Linked DNA regions of Macaca mulatta. The protein of the gene in region 1 interacts with the protein of each later gene in a pairwise test. Links are inferred from orthologs where the notes say so. Each region holds a gene or a part of one and is shown on either strand. Other genes may lie near its edges.

Region 1 (3,521 bases):
ACCAAAGATGTCTTCTTTCAGCTTTCCTCCCCTCCTTTCCTAACCCTCTGCTTGTGAAGAGCATTCCAGGGGCAAACCACCCTAAGAAGTGACTTCTGGATGGTGGGCACTATTTATCCCGAGCCTGGCTCACCCGCAGCGGTTTGCAGTTCTCACGAACATAGCGCCCAGCTGATGTGTTCTCATCCCAATCCAGGCGACCCCGGTAAAAATATTTCTGCTTTCTAGAGGGGAAGGGGAGGTTGAGGAATCAGAAGGTCACCCTTGTTACAATTCCCTTATTTCCCCATCTGAAAGTAACTGGGGGGACAGGAGGCATCAAAGAAAAAAGAAACTGATGTGAAATAGACCAATTCTGTGGAGAGAAAAGGAAAAGGGTTAACTAGTGCACACTCAAGGTTCACCTTGTCTTTCGGATCATCCGGGAAGGGATAGGACCCAATATCCTTTCCATCATGGCTAGATGCTCTCTGTTGTCATGGGTCTGGGAAACAAAAACAGAACTGAGCATGGGACTGAAAAGGGCATGCTGAGGACCAGCTGCCAGGAAGATGGGCAATGTGGAGAACTGAGTAGGCAGGTCCTCAGCAGACAACAAAGCAACCAGGTAGAATGCCAGGTGGTCAAGTAAGATATCCCATCACTTACCTGGAAGAGGGTGAATCCCACATAGTACTCAAAGATGATGCAGCCTATACTCCATACATCACAAGGCTGTGACCAGCCCAACTCTGGGTGAGAATGGGAGGGAAAAGGTGTTATGAGGCTTAGGTGGCCCCACCCTCACCACATCATCTCACACACTTGGACAGCCTTGCCCTCCCTTACCAAGGATGACCTCTGGTGCTCGGTAATGGCGAGTGGAGACAATGGTGCTATGGTGCTCATGGTCAAAGGTGGCACTGCCAAAGTCTACCACCCGCACAGCTGTGCTCTTCACACTGCGCTCATCTCGCTTCTAGGAGCAGAGGAGGAAGAGGATGAACCTCTGCACCCAGACTGAGATTCCACCAGTATTCTCTACCGTGCTTCTGAGCCTTAAAAAAGCTACTGTGATCTCCTGCCTGGCCCCACAAGCCCTGGGAAATTTCCTGTTTTACAGCTCCCACCACATCCAGCATAATACTTTTAGAAGTAGGGGAGCAAAAGGATTAAGAAATGATTATAGAACAGCGTGCACATCTGTAAACATCTGAAGACTACACCCAAGTGCCGGATATACAGTTATTCTGAAAACGTGTAACATGTAGCAAATGGGTTTTCCTGAAAAAAATGTAACATGTAGCAAAGGGGTTTCTCTGAAAATATATAACATGCAGCAAAGGGGTCAAGGGAGGGAGAGCTTCTTTAGGTCTGAGATCTCCATCATCTCCAGTTAGTCAAGGGAGCCAAGCTTTCCTACCTCACAGAAATACACATCTCAAAAAACAAGTCCAGGCCAGGCGCTGTGGCTCACACCTGTAATCCCAGCATTCTGGGAGCCCGAGATAGGTGGATCCTCTGAGGTTAGGGGTTCGAGACCAGCCTGGCCAACATGGCAAAACCCCATCTCTACTAAAAACACAAAAACTAGCCAGGCATGGTGGCGGGTGCCTGTAATCCCAGCTACTCCAGAGGCTGAGGCAGGAGAATCACTTAAACTTGGGAGGTAGAAGTTGCAGTGAGCCAAGATTATGCCAGTGCACATCAGCCTGGGCAACAGAGCGAGACTCCAATCTCAAATAAATAAATAAATCAGTCAGTCAGTCCAAACAGAACCTTAAAATTTTTCACTCTACTGGAAAGTTATCTGAAGTCCCCTGTACAAGTTATCTCCCAATTTAAGTCTTAAGAGATCTCTCCCTTTCAACCTATCTAGTTTTACCCACTTGGAACCAGACAGGGAGAAAATGTGGCAGGACAAAATAAAAAGGGAGAAAAGAAAGGGCTCGGCAGAAGGCAAAGTGGCCCAGCTGCCTACCCCCAGTAACCAAGGGCAGACCCTATCCATCTTACCTTCTCTAGGTTGTAGGTGAGCTCATAGTCTGAATTCACAAACAGAATATTTTCAGGCTTGAGGTCTGTATGTGTCAGCTTGTTATCATGGAGGACTGTAGGGGAGAAGGCCAGGTCAGGCTTGGTGCAGGTGGCCAGAGCTAACTGGTATCAGCTGACCCCAGGCCTGGTTACCTAGGGCAAAGCCAGTGAGGAGACAGGTCCAGAATCACAAGAGGGCTGCTTTCTGCTCTACGTCTAAATGGAATGCCTGGTCTAAGAAGCTCTGCTCTATCTACAATAAGATACATATGTATCTCAACTGATGTAAAAAAAAAAAAAAAAAAGAGTTTGCTTTGAGTTATAGTGTGTATACACTTTGACATGTGTCTAGCTGGCATTATGTGAACTTAGTTCTGTGAAACTGTATTGTTTTGATGACTCCAGAGGAATAATGTATTTCTTTGAATTCCCCACCTTGCCCCTTAGCTGAACTACATACTCTGTGTTCACATCTGCTTTGCTTTGCATGAACATCTCATCCCAGACACATGTAAGCCTTTAACCTAAAGAGTGTATTTTTGTTTCTTTATATTTGCTGTCTGACTGATGCTTTCCCAAGAAGGGGAGGAAAGGAAAAGGGGAGGGTAATTAAGTGCTTTGATTCCAAAGGCTTTCTCTTCTAGCTGCTGCTAGGTTAGGTGTAGAGTAAGAGCAGTCAGTGACAATAAAGACATTAGTCAAGGAGCTAAGTCAGAAGACATTTCAAGATGACAGTAAAACAACTGCAGATAACAGAGAGCTGACTGTTTAGGGGCTTCACCAGTGCACAACCGACAGAGAGATCCAATGAAGGGAGGGGATGCTCGAGAGTCCATTTCAGCCCACCCCACTCACACTTGACAGCCTGGCACAGCTGGAAGGCCATGTGGCGCACTTGGTGGATGGGGTAGGGCAGGTAGTTGTTGTCTTTGAGGAAATCGAAGGTGCTAAGGCCCAGAAGCTCAAAGGAGATACACATGTGGCCATGGTAGTCAAACCAGTCAAACATCTGGACACAGAGGCTGAGAAGAGAGATGGGGGAAGGGGGGTTGTCTGATGAGCTCCCATCTGCCCATCAGCCCTCCAACAAGGAGGTACTTCATAGCTGTTGATTCCACAAACTTGTGTAAAACCATGCCAGTTAATACTAACACCAAAATTCAGTTCAGCTAGGGAATAGCCTCTGCAAGACCCAAGAAGAATGGTACTACTTGCCAAGTTTCAAAATATCTTCCTGCATCATTTTAAATAGTTCAAAAAACTATTTACTGAAGAGCTGTTGAGTGCCAAGTTCCAAACAGTACAGATCCTGGATCATCAAACTGTCCATCCTAAACCCCAACCCCAGCCCAACTCCTGATATTCATTCACCACCAGCTACCACTGGGCTCCTTTTTATACCTACTGGCCTCCTGTTTATACCTACTGGCCTCATATCTTGGCTTAATGTCCTTATTCTATTTTTGGACTGTGAATATATGTGAACAAAATATTACTGCATAAAT
Region 2 (4,209 bases), on another chromosome or scaffold:
TGGCAGGTCGGGTATGGTGGGTCATGCCTGTAATCCCAACACTTTGGGAGGCCAAGGTGGGAGGATTGCTTGAGGCCAGGAGTTTAAGATCAGCTTGGCCAACATGGTGAGATCCCCATCTCTACAGCCCGAGAGGAGCCTGGGAGGTTAAGGCATGCCAACCTGGGCAACAGATCCAGGAAAGAAAGAAAAAAGAAAGAAAGGAAGGAAGGAAGGAAAAAAGGAAGGAAGCTAGCAAGGAAGGAAGGAAGGAAGGAAGAAAGGGAAGGAAGGAAGGAAGAAAGAGGAAGGAAGGAAAAGAAATAGCCGGGTGCGGTGAGGGAGGGAGGCCGAGGCGGGTGGAAAAAAAGAAGTTAGGAAGAAGGAAGGGAGGGAGGGAGGGAGGAAGGAAGGAAGGAAGGAAGGAAGGAAAGGAGAGAAAGAGGGAAAGAAACAAAAGAAAGGAAGGAAGGAAGGAAGGAAGGAAGGAAGGAAGGAAGGAAGGAAGGAAGGAAGGAAAAGAAATAGCCAGGTGTGGTGAGGGAGGGAGGCCGAGGTGGATGGAAAGAAAGAAAGTAGGAAGAAGAAAGAGGGAAGGAGGGAGGGAGGGAAAGTGTGGGCACGGTGGTATGAGGGCAGCCGAGACGGGTGGATCACTTGAGCCCAGGAGACCAGCCTGGCCAACATGGTGAAACTCCATCTCTACTAAAAATACAAAAATTAGCCAAGCGTGGTGGCACACTCCTGTTATCTCAGCTACTTGGGAGGCTGAGGTGGGAGAATCACTTGAATCTGAGAGGCAGAGGTTGCGGTGAATGGAGATGGCACCACTTCACTCCAGCCTGGGCGACAGAGAGAGATTGTCTCAGTAAAAAAAAAAAAAAAAAAAAAAAAAAAAAAAAAAGAGGAAAGAAAGAATGAAAGATGAAAGAAAGAAACAGAGAAAGAAAGAAAGAAAAGAAAAGAAAGAAAAGAAAGCATGTGGCATTGCAAGCCTGTGAATCCTCCCTAGATGTAAATTTGGGCTCGCTCTTGGAATTTGAGAGAAGCAGAGCACCAGCCCATTAAGTCAAGAATATAAGGTTTTATTCCCCATGAATGCCAACAGCAAAGAGGAGAAATGGGTTCTAGGAACTGTGAAAGGCAAGGGTCGGAACACCACATACACTAGAAACTTGTAGCCAACTAGGTAGTGTTCTGGGTGGAGACAATATTTTTAGAAAGGGGTATGCAGTGGGAGATGAGCGGGTCTTTCCTTTTTTTTTTTTTTTTCTAGTGAGCCAAGCTCCTGATAGGAGACTTGGTGAGAGGTATACGCCAAGCTCCACCCCTTGGGGCTTAGCAACAGCAAAGGAAGAGGCTATGATTGGAGGATCAGGTTAGCCCACCATGCTCCTCCCGCGCGGTGAGGGGGCGGTACACGCGCCTGAGCTCGGAGTGTGACGCCATGATACAGAGGAGATGGCTTCGTTTCAGAAGCTAACACTTCCTGAAAAAGTGTCGCCAAATCGTCCCAGTCGGAAAAAGGTTAACTTCCTAGATATGTCTCTAGGTATGTAGATCTCGGATCCCAGTCCCCACTAGTTTGGGCTCACTGGTCTTGAGCGCAAGACCTCGGCATACCGCTGACTAGAAGTGGCGTCGGGAGGAGCACACCGCTTCAAGGAGAGGCTTCCCCCTCAGGGCATCTCCGCACCTGCCCGGCCCCTATCCCTCCTCTCCTCTTCTTCTCCTCACCTCCAGCCCTCTCCTTTCAGGTGGGGAACTCTGAGGGAGGCTGACAAAAAGTGCGTGGGGATTAAGGATTGCTGAAAGGGGCAGGCGGAGAAAATAGACCATTTCCGTGTATTTTACTCTCCCAAGAATTGATACCTAATTACTGGCCTCCTTCAAACACATGGGGCCAAGTGCTCTTCTCAGTCCAAGCGGATGTCATAAATCACTAGATTCCAGGGCCCGGAGGAGCAAGCCTCAGGCTATTTTGCTAGGGATTCCAGCGTGGTAGTGCCAAGAGTTGTTGGTGGGTTGGTGTATCTGCTTTGTTGGAAGGGGTGGTTGGTGCGTTTATTTGCTTGTTGGCTGGTGGTTATTCGCTCTGGATCGCCTTTCTTTGCAGGCACTCTCTAGTCTCTAACTTGAGACCTCTACACGGAGAGTGGAACCTTAGAAAAAATAAATCCTTTATCAATGCCCCTAACCTCCTCCATTCGCACCAAACCCAGAAAAAGTGAATTTTACTCGGACCAGTTCCTCTGCTATTATCCACCTTAGAAATGGGGAAGAGGGGAGGGAATAGACTTTCCAAGCCAGATAGGGAGTGAGCAGAGCTGAGTAGAGGATGGAAGCTGACTTTAGAAATGGAGAGGGGCATCAGAGCACGGAAGAAGGAAACTGTAGAAATGGGGGAAGGAGGACAAAACAGAAAAGGCCTACTTTATTTATTTAGGTTTGTGTGTCTGTGTGTGAAACAGGGGCTTGCTCTGTTTCTCAAGCAGGTGTGCAGTGGCATCATCTTGGCTCACTGCAACCTCCACCCCCTGGCGTCAAGCGATCCTCCCACCTCAGCCGCCCGAGTAGCTGGGACTACAGGCACATGCCACCACACCCGTCTAGGTTGTTTTTTGTTTTTGTTTTTGTTTTTTTGTATTAGTAGAACGAGGTTTCACCATGTTGCCCAGACTGGTCTCCTGGTCTCAAGTGATCTGCCCCCCTCGGCCTCCCAAAGTCCTGCAATTACAGGCGTGAGCCACCGCCCCCAGCCTGGTTAGTTGTTTTTGAGACAAGGTCAGGGACTGTTGTCTGGGCTGGAGTATAGTGGCACGATCAAGGCTCACTGTGGCCTCAAGCTCTCAGGCTCAATCAAGTGATCCTACCACCTCAGCCTCTAGAGGAACTGGAACCACAGGTGCTTGCCACCACACCTACCTAATTTTTAAATTTTTGTAGAGAATGGGTCTCCTTATGTTGCCCAGGCTGGTCTCGAACTCCTGGCCTCAAACAATCCTCCCGGCTCGGCCTCCCAAAATGCTGGGATTGTGGGCCTGAGCCACCGCGCCTGGCCAGGGGCCACTTTAGAAATGAGAGAGGGAGAGGCAGAGCAGTGGGAGCTGAGCTTCAATGTGGAAGTGCAGGGGTGGAGCGAGGAGAAGCAGGAACAAGGAGGGCGGACCTTAGAAATGGATGGAACAGTGGAAAGAGGGTTCACCTTAGAGATGAGAATAGGGGAGCAGAGCAGGGAGGGCTGAACTTTAAAAGGGGCAGGATAAGTGGAGGGAGAGTGTACCATAGAAATGAAGAAGTTTGGCTGGGCTTGGTGGCTCATTCCTGTAATCCCAGCAGTTTGGGAGGCTGAGGTGGGCGGCTTACTTGAGGCCAGGAGTTCGAGACCAGCCTGGCCAACATGGTGAAACCCCATCTGTACTAAAAATACAAAAATTAGCTGGGCATGGTGTTGTGTGCCTGTAGTCCCAGCTATGTGGGAGGCTGAGGCAGGAGAATTGCTTGAACCCGGGAGGTGGAGGCTCCAGTGAGTTGAGATCGCGGCACTGCACTCCAGCCTGGGTGCCAGAGTGAGACTCCATCTCAAAAAAAAAAAAAAAAAAAAAAAAGTACTGAAATGAAGAGGGGCGCTGTGGCTCATGCCTGTAATCGTGGGAGGCAGAGGTTAGGCTGGTCTTGAACTCCTGACCTCAAGTGATACGCTTGCCTCGGCCTCACACAGTGCTGGGATTACAGGCGTGAGCCACCTCGCCCGGCCTAAACTTTCTTTATAGTGTCCTTTGAAGTCCTGAAGTTTCAGATTCTGATAAAATACAATTTATCTGTTTTTTTGTTGTTGTTCATGCTTTGGAGTCATTTCTAGAAAATCATGAAGATATACCCTTGTTTCCTTCTGAGTTTTCTAGTTTTAACTCTTACATTTACATCTTTGATCCATTTTGAGTTCATTCTTGTATATGGGGTGAGTTAAGAGCCAACTTCATTATATTGCATTTTGATGTCTAATTGTTCCAGCACTACTTGTTAAAAAGACTAATTTTCCTCCATTGAAAGCTCTTCTTGGTGGAATTGCTTTCTTAATTTCATTTTTGGATAGTTAATTGCTGGTATATATAAATAGAATTAATTTTTGCATATAGATCTTGTATCCTGCAACCTTGCTGAGCGTGTTCATTAGTGCTAATCTCCGTGTGTGTGTGTGTGTGTGTGTGTGTGTATCTTTAGGAATTT

The links. The genes of interacting proteins can lie anywhere in the genome.
Region 2: the proteins of CLK2 (region 1) and LUZP4 interact in binary tests that used the Homo sapiens proteins (3 or more experiments, as listed by UniProt). The two-hybrid records come from large-scale screens. The link is inferred for Macaca mulatta from reciprocal best matches to the Homo sapiens genes CLK2 and LUZP4.

The regions. Positions count from the first base shown.
Region 1 is NC_133406.1:111,721,768-111,725,288, reverse strand, and holds part of CLK2 (dual specificity protein kinase CLK2), read right to left. Parts: intron 3,039-3,521; coding exon 2,872-3,038; intron 2,091-2,871; coding exon 1,996-2,090; intron 959-1,995; coding exon 829-958; intron 732-828; coding exon 649-731; exon of another isoform or gene 485-648; coding exon 405-484; intron 225-404; coding exon 134-224; intron 1-133. UniProt on the Homo sapiens protein: Dual specificity kinase acting on both serine/threonine and tyrosine-containing substrates. Phosphorylates serine- and arginine-rich (SR) proteins of the spliceosomal complex.
Region 2 is NC_133426.1:121,839,520-121,843,728, forward strand, and holds the start of LUZP4 (leucine zipper protein 4), read left to right. Parts: upstream 1-1,394; 5' UTR 1,395-1,440; coding exon 1,441-1,531; intron 1,532-4,209. UniProt on the Homo sapiens protein: Export adapter involved in mRNA nuclear export in cancer cells. Binds and enhances the RNA-binding activity of the nuclear RNA export factor NXF1. Can restore mRNA export function in cells compromised by loss of mRNA export adapters.